Tamandua tetradactyla: one gene and its partner. The protein of the gene in region 2 purifies or fractionates together with the protein of the main gene of each other region. This does not show direct contact. Links are inferred from orthologs where the notes say so. Each region holds a gene or a part of one and is shown on either strand. Other genes may lie near its edges.

Region 1 (7,233 bases), on a different chromosome or scaffold from region 2:
AATTATTTTCTATACAATAAAACTACTTCTAGATGCCATGAAGTAGCTATAATTAAGTCTGGTTCCATAGGTTTGGTGGTCTAATTCTAGTCCCAAACTGGCCTTACAGGTCATACTTTATTTCAATTTATTTGTTGAGTTAGAAGAAGTATACCATCTTGAACCTGACAGAGAACCTACTCTTACACCTCAAACGCCCATTTTACAAACTAATTCCTCCGGAATGCTTTCCACTCTATGGCCTGGTTAACTCCTTCCTTGCTATCCTTCCTCAGCAGAAATGTCACATCCTCAGGGAAGAAGCCAGCTCTGACCCCTCAGATTAGGTTAAATACCCATACATTTATGCTATGTGTCCTGTACTTCCTCTTTGGCTAAGATTCATCATATCTGAATTGTTTTTACAATATTTTTCCTCCTCAACAGAGCATAAACTCTACTCAGTCAGTAGTCTAGCAATAACCTAGTTTGAGGAGTCCACAATCACTCGGTTAATAGAGACACATCTACACCTATTTAAAGAATAAACCTAAGGGTGACAGATTTACAAAGACTTAAATTACAAAATTAGCTGACTTAAGCAGAATAACATCAGTAGACACTTAAATTTTTAAAATTAAGCTGTACTTGTGCTTTAATGGTCACTATTTCAATAATTATATTATGACTTTCTGGGTCAATCCAGTTTTCAATTATTGTTCAATACCTAGCTGAAATAACTCTGTGGAATATACAGATTCAGGTAAACTTAACAGCTCTCTTTTCTATATTCCCAGAGCCACCTATACATACTTTTATCATTTTTATTTCCTGTGTGCCTGCCCAAGCTGGTCTACCCATCACTGAGCAATCAATCCAAGACATCATTGTATTCTGTCCTCCCATTACCCTTATTCCAAAAGACCAGGGAAACTGAAATAGCCTATTAACTACTTTTCCTATTTTTGCACCATGTCACACTCCTCCATAAATTTGGTAATAACTTCTTGGTTCATTTAAAACAAAATAAAAACTCCTTACTCTAGCCTACAAAGCCCTGCATCATTTGGCCCTTAGCCACATATATCCTTGCTCACTATACTCCAGCTTATTTCAACTCCTTTAAGACCATAAGCTCTTTTCCACCTTTAGGGCTTTCACAAACAAGCTGTTCTCTCTGTCCACAATTCTTCTTACTCCTAAATCTCAAATGGCTGGCTCCTTTTCATATTCTAGTCTCAAAATTACCTCTAAACATAGGCCTTTCCTGACTGCCCAATCTTTCCACCCTCTTAAACTTTATAAAACTAGGGAAAGAAAAGCATTTTTTCAGAATTCATTACCAGGAGCCAATTTGTTTTACTCATTTATTATCAACCTCCTCAACTGAATGTAGTTCACAGTAACACTTCTTTATGTAGTCTCTAGTCACTTCTACTGTGAATTGTTTAATCCTGATTAAAACAGACTGGAGACAAATGTTTTCTTTTTTAGCTAAAAGAGAGATGAACTCACCATGTTAAAAAAATAAAAGATGAACTCCTTTCAGAAAAAGAAAATTATTTTGATAAAGAAACATTAAAAAAGTTTCAGTCGCTCATGACATATATTGTTTTGTTTCAATTACACCAGGATTACACTTCCTTAGAGATAAAGGATCATTTGCTTTGCTCACTAATATGAAATGACTACCTGGCACATATTGTCCCTTTCATTGCAGAATTAAATTAATTTCATTCAAAGGTTAAAAAAAAAATCTAGTACATATCCTCCCTTATCGAAAACTGTCAGAAGGAAAGTATTTTAGGATTTTAAGACAACAACGTAATAGAAAGTGCATTACTTTTGCCTTCATAGAGAACCAGTTTGAATGCCAATTCGGCTACTCATTGATGATCTTGAACAAATCACTTAATTTCTGAGCTCTGGTTTCCTCATCTGTAAAGTGTTAGCAGGACATTTATCATACATGGTTGTGGAAAGAGAAGTAGGACGTTAAGCTGTACCCACGCAAGAACGTACTCAACAAAACTTACAGCCAATCTGCTTTAGTCATTAAACAGGACTATATTTAGGTAGAGCATTGGTGCTCCTTAAGAAAACAGCCAAATTAGAACCTTTCCCTTATCGACTTACTAAATCCTTCGGTGATGGTTTCTTACATTGGGAACGATGATTATTTCAACTGTATTTTCAAAAATATTATTTTTAACCTCTTGTTCGACAACTGAAAAGTCTATAATCTTTTTTAAAGTTAATATGCCATCCTCAAAAAAATAGCTAAAACGCAAATAGCCTGGTACTTCAGCGAGAAGTACTAGGTCCACAAGCACCAAGTGACAGAATGAGTAACGCTTTCATTTTTTCTTTATTCTTCTAACAGAGGCACAGAAACCGAAAGCGGGAGGTTTCTAAAGTCACTATGGCCAACTGGAGACTAAAACTCCAGAAAACGGAGGCTTTCCGAGGAAAAGGGACTCCACACACTGGACCAAGAGTCCGAGTTTCGGACGCTCCCGAATCAGGCCCGAATGGGCCAGGAAGCAAATACAGAGTTCTGAAAGGGTTACCCAGAGATGACTTATCCAAAACTGCCTTCCTATCTGGGCGCCAAAACGTAAACGAATCTCTGGCTGGAGTCCTCATCTTCCATGAGCCCCAAGTTTACCCCAAATCCCACAAGCCGCGTGGCCTCCTGGGACTGCTGCTCCCCAGTACCCACTCCCCAGTACCGTGGTCCGGCAAATGACTTTGCAACGCCGCATTCCTTCCCCTATTCTATACCGGACCCTCCGGAAGCACCAGGTCAGAGGCCAGGACGCAAAGAACCCGGCTGACGGAGCGCCTCCAATCTCCGCAACGCGGAGGACCTGGGGAACTCTCCCATACCTGAATGTAGTCAGCGAAAAACTGTAACCTCGTTCCGCCATCTTTGCCCGGAGAGCCAAGGCACATTCGCACGCATGCGTCCCGTACCCGGCTTCCTCTCACTTCCCCTCCCACCCCTATTTCCTACTCTCTCTCTGATTGGAGGAGAGTCACAGCCGCTGCGGGGACATCTGGGCATTGTAGTTCCAGGAGGAGGGTTCGCCACGGCGTTGCGTCTGTACGCATGCCCCAGGTGACGGCGGGACTCAGCAGCCGGTGGGCGTCGTCTTCTGACTGGGAAGATGGCGTCGAGCATGCTTCTGCTGGTCCTTTCCCCGTGGCCGGGAGCGGGGAGACTGCTCCGGAACTGTTGGGAGCGGCTGCAGCGGAAACTTCTGCAGAGCCGACCAGGTTTTCCCAGTCCTCCGTGTGGTAGGTGAAGAGGACCGCCGTGGTGAAGGGGTTGGATGAGGGGACCCTAGGCAGTGCTGTAGACATGTTTAAGAGCCTGCGTGCTTGCCTGGGTTCTGATACCCAGCCGCTCCTAGAGAATATTGTTCGTGACTTTCGCTTAGGAACAACAGACAGCTGTTTTCCCCCGGCCCCATGCCCCCTGCTTGTCCCATTCCTGCACAGATTATAATCCAAGTGTTTTAGTTTGGATTTTAGTTTGGGCATTAAGGCCCGCCACTATCTGGATCGATTTTACTTTCCCTTTCCAGCCCTCGGAATGCATTTTGTCCACAGAATTTGAGCTCCGAGAAGACCAAGCCTGATTTCTCTGTTTCGCCTGGGAATTAATTTTGTGTCTTTACTGTTATAACTGGCATAGCTTTGACGTTTACATTTACTCGATTTGTAAAGTACCGCACGTTTGGGGTATGCCTCAGTATGCCCCGAAAGTGATAATACACAGGCATTCTGAACAGAGAGCCCCGGTATATACCATGTATTGTGCAAAGTAAGACTTCTACATCTATTTCCACACAACAATCCCATTAGATGTTCCACTTTACAACTGAAGAAGTAGGCTCAGAGAATCCCCAGCATCATACAGATGGAGGATCCAAAACCAGGCTGGCCAGAGCCAGAGCTCTTTGCTCCTAGGCTATGCGTTTCAGTACAGATGTATTGAAAAGTAGTTTCAGTTATTAACTGTTAGAGAGCTTGGTGTTGTTGTTTTTTTATGAGTCGCTGAAGTGAGAAGCATTCAAGTCTGAGGAATGGCAAGGTAATAGTGAAAAAATCGTTTCGTCTTTAAAAACAGTTTAGAAAAGCAAATGTGAAACTTTGATATCACAAATAAATTAATGACTGTCAGACTAAGTGGTAATGAACTAGCACTTGACCTTAGAGAAAAGAGGAAAATCAAAGTTAAATATTATGTAGATTTCAGTGATTTTTTTGAGGGGCATAAACAGATTATGTGACAGAGGAACTTGACTCCACTTGAATATAGTGAAAAACAAAAAGAGCAAATAGGTGGTTATCTCTGCAGCTCAGAAGTGTATTTTGGAAACCTCAGTCTTTTGATATATTATTTGTTTGTAAAGTAATTATGGACTGTCCAACAAATAATATGTGAACGATGTAGTGATTTTTTTGTTTGGTCAATTGGTGATTTTGTTTAAGGCAGGTACCTTTCAGACTTTAATTCGTGTTTGCTACTAAACCCCTGAGTTTTGCGTTTCAGACAATTACAAACTCTTGGTAGAATTTCAGCAGAATGCTGAGAAAAAATTATTCTTGTGCTTTTTAAAATTCCTTATGGCCTCTTGTATGAGCTTTAGTATATTTGAATAGCTACACTTTCCTGTTAAATGTCTTTATTGAATTTAACTAACAGATGTTAAATTCTCTCTGCCACCCGTGTGTGTATCTGCATATGTGTTCATGTTTATATATCTATTGCATGATCACTGTTGATTAAAGAGAATTATATCTATAAATAGTCATTTAAAAGCTAGAAACTCATTCTTTGTCTCCATGTTTTATTTTATAGGACCAGCATTAGCAGTTCAGGGTCCAGCCATGTTTGCAGAATCTGTAAATGATACCAGTGGAAGTAAGGAGATTTCCAGCTTTTTGGATAGTATCTTTTGGATGGCAGCTCCCAAAAACAGACGCACTATTGAAGTTAACCGGTGTAGGAGAAGAAATCCTCGGAAGCTTATTAAAATTAAGGTAATGTGTTGATTTTATGGGTGTACCTTTTCCTCAGGTCTGTCATTTAACATCCTAATGGTATAGTCACGTAGCTTATGGATAACTTATTCTCAGATTTTATATGTCTGCTTTCCTTTAGCTGAAATGAAATTCAATATTTTCACATATAGGTATACTGTCCTTTAGCCTAAACATTAAGAACACTGCCAAGGAGGTAGTTTGGGGATTGGACAGAATACTTATGGTTGTGAAGAGCTTATATGACTTATGAATTGTGAGCTGCGCCAGTCCTAAGCTGTGTAATTTTGAGCCACTTTGGATAAGCACCCTAACTATGGTAGAGCTTAAAATTAAAGTCAGAAGCTATAGGTCTTTTGGCTCTTAGATATTACTAGCCCTTACATATTTATTTTGTGTCCAGTAAAATGCTATGAAAGAAAATCGTCAAATGAATAATAAAAATAGCTAACATGTATTAAAATCCTACAATGCATCTAAGTGCTTTTATGTGCTCTATCTCATCAAATCCTTACAATAACCCTCAGAGTAAATACTATTTTCTTCATGAAGAAACTGAGACAAAAAGAATGCCTGTCGTCACATAGCTATTAAATCGTAGAGACAAGATATGAGCCCTGGCATTCTGATTCTCAAGCCTCAGTTAATTGAAGATTTTCCCACACATGGATGCGCTCTTTACTGACAGAAAACCTCTGATCCATTAATTCATGGCTTTAACAGTTGTGCTTTCAATGACCATTTATCTTATGGCATTACATAACAGCAGCACTATACAAATGAACCTCGAGAACAAAGTTGACTTCATAAGCTTACACATTCCATATTAAACCAGACCCTTAGAACTTGAGCCAGTAAGCATTACTGAATTGCACTTGGGTCTGGACTTAAACTCTGAAACTGTAAAACATTTCATTACTTAGTCTTATAATAATTCATACAATTTGGTTGAGAGAATTTAAGATTTTAGAAATGAGACCAGATTCAAAGTCAGTAGATGGGAGTTCTGGCCCTGGTTTTTCTTTTTTTTTTAACTCAAACTCAGTGTTGCTTGCCCTTAGTTTCTCTCTGAAGGTGAGATTTAACTAGATCGTATATAACCTCATGCAGTATGAACATTTTAAGAAAGTTAAAATGTAAGCACAATTCCTGTCAGTGATTTTTGGGGGACATTATGTTTCTTGTTGAAATATGTTTCTTTGTTTTTTTAAAGAATAATATAGACATTTGTCCTGAATGTGGCCACCTGAAACAGAAGCATGTCCTTTGTGGCTATTGCTATGCTAAGGTGCGCAAGGAGACTGTAGAAATCAGAAGACAGATATGGAAACAAGAAGGGGGCCCTTTTAAGGCTCCTAATGTGGAGACTGTGGTGCTGTATACAGGAGAGACACCAGCTGAACAAGATCAGGGCAAGAGGATCATTGAACGAGAGAGGAAGAGACCATCCTGGTTCACCCAGAATTGATACCGCAGACGTTTAAACAAGATGACTCCACAGTACATTTCTGCTAAAGAGAGGAAGATTCGTTGTTTTTGTGTTGTTGTGGTTACTGTTTTAAAATCATCAGTATAGATGAAAATGTTATTTATAAACAGCTTTATGTGGAATAATTTGAAAACTATATCATGGATAAACTTTGAAAATGTTGGTATAGAGGTCAGTATACTATAAGGTTTTAAATAAAACAGAACTTCCAACAGAAAAATAAAATAACTTTAAAATTCATAGCAAGAATTGTTCATTTTGGCTCAGATTTTGTTCATTTACCAGCGTTTTCTCTTACACAAAAATATTTACATAAATACTTTCATTTAAATAATACTTGGAAATAATTTGAATTCTTGATTTTTTTTAAGATGATAGTTATAACTGTTATAATTGTGGAAAAGTTTTATTCTGTTTCAGGGAATTCCTCTTGAGGAAAACACTTTATCTTCAAGGTGTTATGTTAAATTACTTAGAATATTAGAAATTAATTTACCATAAGGTACAATGTAGACCACTGATACATTGAATGCAATTCAGAAAAAGCAAATCTTTAAACTTCTAAAGTATTGGAGTCCTATAAGTAACTCTTTTCAGGTTTGGCTCAATCTAAGCATAAAACTGTGTTTCCAGAGGAATTGACTATCTGCATATTCTTAAGGCAATCCTCTACAGATATTTTCCACTATGGCAAGTCTTAAAATTGCTACGTG
Region 2 (7,970 bases):
AGATTACAAAGCAGCCCTGGGACCAGACTAGCCCCTTAGAGCCCTTTTAGATCAGTCAGAAGCTGGGCCGGACCATGCCCCCAGGGTTCACAGTGCAGTGAAGTAGGCAGCCCTACTGAGCTGCCTCCCAGGGCCTGAGTTGGAGACAGTGCTGTGTACAACCACCTTGCAGCATCCTGACAGCATTGGGCTCTTGTACGCATAACCCCAGGAGAGGGGGCCAGGACTGCACTGACGATGAGGCAGACAGATTTTTTTCAGTGCCTTCTAAGGTTTGATCATGATCCTTGATGGAAGGGGGATTTGGGCTGACCAAACAGGCAGGCAGAACCAAGTAGGCTGTGGATAAGGATAACCCTGAATGGCAGGCCTGGCCCTGAGAGATGAACTAGAATATGATTGGAGCTGGGAACACAGACCTGTACGTCATGGGGACACCAGGGCTAACGGAAAAGGGCACAGGCGGCTGTCAGGACACAAGCTACCACACCAGAGACCAGGACCCTGCTGACGTGGCAGTCCTCTGCCCCAGCCTCACTTCCCCATTCCCCCATAACTCTGTTCCCTCCCCCCACCCCTCGCCCCTGCCTGTCAGCTGCTAACAGGGCTCTGCCCTGTGTCTGCCACACCTGTCACTGCCTGTCCGTGTCCGGGGGTGGGGGCCCCATCAGCCCCTCCTCAGCTGCCCGGCAGAGCAAGCAGTTAGTGGGGAGGGGAGGGAAGATGGAGCGGGGGCCAGCGGTGGGGGCAGGGCCAGGGCTGGCTGCCGGGACCCGGATCCGGGCACTGCTGGGCTGCCTGCTCAAGGTGTTGCTCTGGCTGGCCTCTGCCTTGCTATACTTTGGAAGTGAACAGGCTGCTCGCCTCCTGGGCAGTCCCTGCTTACGGCGCCTTTACCACGCCTGGCTAGCAGCAGTGGTCATCTTCGGTCCTCTTCTGCAGTTCCATGTCAACCCTCGGACTATCTTCGCCAGCCACGGCAACTTCTTTAACATGTGAGTCAACTCCAGGCTAAGGGAACCGGCTCCCTACACTCTGGGATTCGAGCTCCCTCCCCCAGGCCTCTGTCCTGCCAGCCTAAACACTAAAAATAGGCCAGGAGGTTGAAAAGAAGGTGGGCGGGGGGAGGGAACAGAGTTATGGGGGAATGGGGAAGTGAGGAGCAGGGCTGAAGGGGAAATGCGGATCCAAGAAGGCTAGGTGGTCCTCTAGGGAGATGGCAGCGTTTCAGTGGTCGGGGGTTGTGGAGGGCACGGGAAACAGAACCAGTGATGATGTGACACTGGACGCAGAATTGTGGATAAAGCAGAGATGGGGACACAGACCAGGGTGGGGAGATGCAGCTGGGGGGTCTCAGTGGTCTCCCCTCTTCTCTGCCCACAGAAAGTTTGTGAATTCAGCGTGGGGCTGGACGTGCACCTTTCTGGGGGGATTTGTGTTGCTGGTGGTGTTCCTGGCCACACGGCGTGTGGCGGTGACCGCCAGGCACCTGAGCCGACTGGTGGTGGGGGCAGCCGTGTGGCGGGGGGCCGGCCGGGCCTTCCTGCTCATCGAGGACCTGACGGGTTCCTGCTTCGAGCCTCTACCCCAGGGCCTGCTGCTCCACGAGCTGCCTGACCGCCGCAGCTGCCTGGCAGCCGGCCACCAGTGGCGGGGCTACACGGTCTCCTCCCACACCTTCCTGCTCACCTTCTGCTGCCTGCTCATGGCTGAGGAAGCAGCAGTGTTCGCCAAATACCTATCCCATGGGCTCCCGGCTGGTGCCCCACTGCGCCTTGTCTTCCTGCTCAACGTGCTGCTGCTGGGGCTCTGGAACTTCTTGCTGCTCTGTACCGTCATCTACTTCCACCAGTACACCCACAAGGTCGTGGGTGCCGCCGTGGGCACCTTTGCCTGGTACCTCACCTATGGCAGCTGGTATCATCAGCCCTGGTCCCCAGGGAGCCCAGGCCATGGGCTCTTCCCTCGTTCCCACTCCAGCCATAAGCACAACTGAAAGAAATAAAGGACAGCACGCCTGACTCTGGGTCCTCTCATCATTTGACCGGGGCTTGGGAGGGATGGGAAGGGTAGGACGACGGCCTGGCACCATTGGAATTCTTTAGGCATTCCTTGCTGGCACCATGAATGTTCCTTTTCCTGGGACATCCCTCCCACTGTCAGCCTCCTGACCCTCACAGAGCCATCTGGGGTTGGGATGTCAAGGAATGGTGCTGATAAGGCAGTTAACAGCGTCCTTGAGTGTGGGTATCATTTTGGGCTGAGCAGATGCTCCATCCCAGCCCCATCCCTTCCTGGCCCTGCCCCCCATACACTTACACACACACACACACACACACACACACACACACACACACACACACACACACACACACACACACACACACACACACTGAATCTCTCCTCTGACCTCCTCAGGACCTTGCTTCTCTGGGCACCCCACTCAGGGGCTCTTCCTCAAAGAGAGTCTGGGCGTGTTCATTCATTTAACAAATATTTATTGTGCCGAGCAACATTTCATGCTATGAGTGAGAGAGTTTCTGCTGTAGAGGAGCTTATGGGCTACAAGGAGAGGCAGATGACAAACACAAATAACAGCAAATGCATTGTGCTTCTGGACCAGCCAGACACCTGTCTAAGTTTATACATTCTTTATGTAAATTCACACATTTATTCCTCATCACAACACTTTGAAGTTTAGTAGTGTTCCCATTGTACAGTTGGGAAAACTGAGGCCCAGAGGTTAAGTAACTTATTACAAATTAGTAAATAGCAGAGCCAGGATTATTAGCCCAGAACTATATGGGCGTATTATCTATGTTCTAAACCTGAGGTTAGCAAAATATAGCCTGTTCATGGCCAGCTTTCTTGTGACCTGTGAGCTAAAAATGATTTATATATATATATTTTAATTTTTTAAAGTTAATTTTATTGAGACATAATTTACACACAATAAAATGCATCCATTTTAATTATATAAAGTTCTATGAGTTTACACACACACGTAACCACCACCACACTCAAGATACAGACGATTTCCATCACTTTCAGGAGTTCCTTCAGCAGTCACTCATTTTTCCTCTGATATTCTAGTAGTTGAATAAATTGAATATAAATTATTTACCCATTCTCGAATAAATATTTGGATTGTTTCCAAATTGGGCTTTTACAAATATTCTATGAACATTCAAATGAATGCTCCTAGAGATGCCTGGCGTATAACTAAGAATGGATTTATAAGATTTCTAGGACACACACCTTCTACTTCACTAGAAAATATCAAGTTGTTTTCCAAAGTGATTGTACCATTATGTATGTTAAATACACAGCGCAGGAGTTTTAGCTGGTCTACATTCTTGCCGACAGTCAATACTTTAATTTGGGCTAACCTGAGCGTAAGAATATTTTATTTCAATTTAAATATGTCTATCCATATGCATATGCAAGTGAGTATCTTTAATGTAGCTGCTGACCATTATAACTTTCTTTTTTGAAGTGCCTATTTTGCCATTTTTTCTATTTGGTTGCTTGTCTTTTTTTCATCGATTTGCTTTATACTCTGGATAATAATCCTATGTCTGAATAATAACTCTTCGTCAAGAATATTTGTTGCAGATAGATGGTCCCCGTTTTTGCTTAGTAATTTCATTTTTTATGATGTCATGATAAGCAGAAGTTAGTAATTTGAATATGGCTAGATTTATTAAATTTTTATCATTTGTATTTTTGCATTTTAAAAACTCATTGCCTTCCCAGTGCCTGCTCATGTTAAAAAAAAACCATTGCCTTCAAGTTCAAAAAGGAATCTCCATTCAGTTTGACAGGATTTATATTTTTTAATGGTTGGAAAAAATCAGAAGATTTCATGACATGAAAATTATATGAAATTCAAATTTCAGTGCTCAAAAATTAAAGTTCTACAGGAAACCAGTCATGCTATACGAATATTTAGGTATCGTTTATGACTGCTTTCCTGCTATGACAGCAGAGTTGACTAGTTGCAGGGACTGTATGTACTCACAAAGCCTAAAATATTTACTATCTGGCTCTTTACAGAATAAGTTTGCCAACTTCTGGTCTAAATCATTACAATATTCTGTTTCAAAAAATAAACTAGGTAATATCGGAGAGTTAAGTGCTGTGAAGAACTAAATCAGGCTGCTGTGTATTTAGAGTTGGAGGGAGGTACTTTAGAAAGGACGACTGAGAGTTCTCTCTAAGAGGTGACATTTGAGCCGAGAGCCCAGCGGCATCCCTAGCCAGGGAAAGGTTGTTTCAGGCAAAGGGATTAACAGAGGTAAAGGTCCTGAGGCAGGGATGAACATGACCCGTTTGAAAAGTGAGCAGAAAGGTCAAGTGTTTGCAAGTGTAATGAAGGAGGGGGAAACAGTGGGAAATGAAGCTTGAATGGGAGGACAGGTGCCAGGCAGGCCGGGCAGGGCCTTATGGATCAGGCAAGCCCTTTTGATTTCATTTTAAGGTCAACAGGAAGCTGTGAAAGAGTTTGAAGCCAGAGGAAGGCATGGTCCCTCTATTTTGTGGAGAGTGAGTTATAGAAGAATGGAGGCTGCAACAACAGTCCAGGAGAGTCCAGGGAGCTTGGATCAGGGTGGTGCCAGCGTCTGCATGTCTCTCACCGGCTAGAGGATGCCCACGCTGGCGGGACGAGCTCCCCCTCTGAGCCGCAGGTAAAGCTTATCACTGTGCCAGGCCGAGCAGGGGAGGAGAGCCGGTGAGGAGTGGGGAACCAGGAGCTGAGAAGTTAGGACGGCAGGGAGTCAAGAAGGTGGGGCGAGGTGGGGAGCCTAGGGCGGCGAGGAGGCGGGGATGCCAGGCCGAGAGGCGAGGAAGCAGGGAGGGCGGAGAGGCCGGGAGGCGGGAAGCGGGGCGTCGAGAGGCGGGGGATAGGGGGGCAAGAGGGCGGAGACAGGAGGCCGGCGGTCGAGAGGAGGGAGGGAGGTGGGAGACCGGCTGGGCGGGGGAGGTCGCTGGAAAGGCTCCTTTTGGGCTCTAGGGGGAGCCCCGCCTCGCTGCCTTCCTCCGCCCCTCCACCCCTCTCCTATCCCCGGCCTGTCCCGCCTCCTCCAGTACCTACACTCCCCGCTACCCAGGAAGGCCGGGCGGGTGGCGAGGGCTGCTTTCGCTTTTCCTTCTCCGTGCCCACTCCTCGCTCCTCGTGCGGCGCAAGGCGGCCCGCCGCGACCATGGCCACGCTCAGGGTCCAGCCTGAAGCCCAAGCCAAGGTGAGCGCTGCGGGTTCCAGCAAGGGCCCATTAGGGAGGCGTGGTGCGGAGAGGCTCCCTGATCTGCCCTCCCCCTCCAGCCCCGGACATGAAGAGGGGGGTCAGTCCACCAAGGCCACCTGTCTGGAGCACCTGAGCTCACGTGGAAACCGGAGAGGCTGCCTGCCGAGAGGCGAGGGGGCCGTGGTTCAGTGGGGTGAGGTGAAGCAGAGAGCTGGCGTGCAGGGGAAGTCCGCTGGCCTGGGGCCCTGGGCCACACACAGACAGGGTGTGGGGCCAGCAGTGCCACCTGATGGTCTTTCTCACAGAGGGCCCGGGACCCCCTCCATCCCTTCCCCAATCGCAGGGGGTTCTGTCCTACAAGTCCTCTGAACATGGCCTAACAACCCAGGGGATCTGCTCCCACATCAGCAACTCACCCTTCACCACCAGGAACGTTCTCAACTTCCAAATCCAGCCGCAGGGGAATCTACTTCTCTCTCTGGGGATCTACACTACTTTCCCCAAATCTAGACCCACAGAGATCCACTCCTGTACCACCCGGATCAAACCCCACAGAGATCCATCTCACTTTCTTCAAGTCTGGCCTTAGAGGGATTCACTCCACCCCTTCCCAGGTCCAGGCCCTACATAACCCTAAAGGAACTGTCCTCAAATACTGGCCTTCAAGTCAGGTTTCTGAGGGGTTGCCTGTGCTCCGCAGGTGGATGTGTTCCGTGAAGACCTGTGTACCAAGGTGAGACCTGCCCATCAGCCCTCCCTTGCCAGCCCTGCTCCACTGCTTAGGAAGGACATTGATTTTGACCCCATCCCCCCCCACCCCCACCTGCACACAGGCAGAAAACCTGCTTGGGAGCTATTTCCCCAAGAAGATTTCTGAGTTGGATGCATTTTTAAAGGTACTATGGCCAGGCATGGGGATAGAGAGTAGGGGCCAAGGGAAGAATTTGGGGGACTAGGAAAGTAAGGAGAGGACCCCCTTACCTTCAGCCCTTCTCCCACCCTGCACCAGGAGCCAGCTCTCAATGAAGCCAACCTGAGCAATCTAAAGGCTCCGTTGGACATCCCAGTGCCTGATCCAGTCAAGGAGAAAGAGAAAGAGGAACGGAAAAAACAGCAAGAGGCAAGCTCAGGAAAGCTGGGGGAGGGACCCACCCTAGAGGGAAATCATCCTTAAGCCTGACTTCCATAAGCCCTTCTCTCTCTCTGCAGAAGGAAGACAAAGAAGAAAAGAAGAAAGGGGAAGATGAAGACAAAGGTACCTGAAACCAGTCCAGTGGAAAGGATCTTAATTCCCACCCCCCAGGAGCTCCTCCCTAAGAGTTCCTCTTCCCTTCCCCACCCCTCACTCAGGCCTGATCATGTGACTGACTCATTGCCCATTCCCCAGGTCCTCCCTGTGGCCCAGTGAGCTGTAATGAGAAGATCGTGGTCCTCCTGCAGCGCCTGAAGCCTGAGATCAAGGATGTCATTGAACAGCTCAACCTCGTGAGCCCTCCCACGTCTACCCCCAGGCTGCAGATGGAACCCTTTGTCCTCCTTGGTCCCCGCCAGTTAGGGCACGTGGCACCTGCCAGGTCTTAGTAGGAGTGGGCACAGCAAGTGAAGCCAGAGCAGGCCCTGAGGCCCAGGATGGACTGGCTCACCCTCACCCACTGTGGGCAGGAAAGCAGGAGCGTGCAGGAGCCTGGGAATTGGGTGGGACAGGCTGTTATGAGTTTGACACAATTCCTTCCTCCCAGGTCACCACCTGGTTGCAGCTGCAGATACCTCGGATTGAGGACGGGAACAACTTTGGAGTGGCTGTCCAGGTGTGAGGGCTCCCCCACTCCCTGGTCCTCCTGTTCCCTCCGGTCCTTGCTTCCTTCTACTTTCCCCAATGCTTTCTTTCCCCAGGAGAAAGTGTTTGAGCTGATGACCACCCTTCACACCAAGCTGGAAGGCTTCCACACCCAAATCTCCAAGTGAGTGACCACCCACTCATACCCACACCCACAGGCACCCTCTGCCTTTGGTCTGGGTACAGAGGCCTGGGCTCATACTGCCTTCTCCCTCTCCTCACACCTCTCCCACTTCCACAGGTACTTCTTGGAGCGTGGTGATGCCGTGACCAAGGCAGCCAAGCAGCCCCATGTGGTAGGTGAGGCCCAGGCCAAGGTGCATGGAGGGAAGGACACACTGGAATGAAGTCAGGCCCTACCCTCAATTCTCCCTCAGGGGGATTATCGGCAGCTGGTGCACGAGTTGGATGAGGCAGAGTACCGGGACATCCGGCTCATGGTCATGGAGATCCGCAATGCTTATGTGAGGAGGGCAGGGCAGGGCCGGGCAGGGATGGGCAGAGACAGCTTTCCCAGGCTACCTATACCCTGACCGTGCAGGCTGTGGGTGAAGGGTACAAAGCTAAGCCTCTTCACAAGGCTGGAAATGAGGCACAGAGCTTCTGGGGGCCTCTGGCTGATACCCACTCCTCCCCTGGTCCTGTAGGCCGTGCTATATGACATCATCCTAAAGAACTTCGAGAAGCTCAAGAAGCCCAGAGGAGAAACAAAGGGAATGATCTACTGAGAGCCTCCTGCCTTTTACCAGGGACTCCAGACTTTCCCCCCACCTCATCCTGTTGAGGTTTCTCTCTCCTTTGCCTCCCAGGGAAAATAAATATAGTCATACCGGTCGCTGCCCATCAGCCCAAGTCTCTTTATTGGTTCCTGGTCCCCCTGGCCCTGG

The links. Proteins that work in one complex are often made in the same cells at the same time.
Region 1: the proteins of PSME1 (region 2) and PSMA2 purify together in Homo sapiens (affinity purification with mass spectrometry; 6 studies listed by BioGRID and IntAct, with this or other methods). This does not show direct contact. The link is inferred for Tamandua tetradactyla from reciprocal best matches to the Homo sapiens genes PSME1 and PSMA2.

What each region holds. Positions count from the first base shown.
Region 1 is NC_135327.1:79,158,157-79,165,389, reverse strand, and holds the start of PSMA2 (proteasome subunit alpha type-2), read right to left. Parts: upstream 3,001-7,233; 5' UTR 2,910-3,000; coding exon 2,869-2,909; intron 1-2,868. Other genes in the region: MRPL32 (large ribosomal subunit protein bL32m), read left to right, coding at 3,150-3,279, 4,850-5,031, 6,245-6,499.
Region 2 is NC_135340.1:30,655,823-30,663,792, reverse strand, and holds PSME1 (proteasome activator complex subunit 1), read left to right. Parts: upstream 1-4,953; 5' UTR 4,954-5,204; coding exon 5,205-5,243; intron 5,244-5,946; coding exon 5,947-5,979; intron 5,980-6,079; coding exon 6,080-6,142; intron 6,143-6,255; coding exon 6,256-6,366; intron 6,367-6,455; coding exon 6,456-6,501; intron 6,502-6,633; coding exon 6,634-6,731; intron 6,732-6,985; coding exon 6,986-7,054; intron 7,055-7,139; coding exon 7,140-7,207; intron 7,208-7,324; coding exon 7,325-7,379; exon of another isoform or gene 7,380-7,383; intron 7,384-7,460; coding exon 7,461-7,547; intron 7,548-7,730; coding exon 7,731-7,811; 3' UTR 7,812-7,929; downstream 7,930-7,970. Other genes in the region: FITM1 (fat storage-inducing transmembrane protein 1), read left to right, coding at 724-995, 1,384-1,996. UniProt on the Homo sapiens protein: Implicated in immunoproteasome assembly and required for efficient antigen processing. The PA28 activator complex enhances the generation of class I binding peptides by altering the cleavage pattern of the proteasome.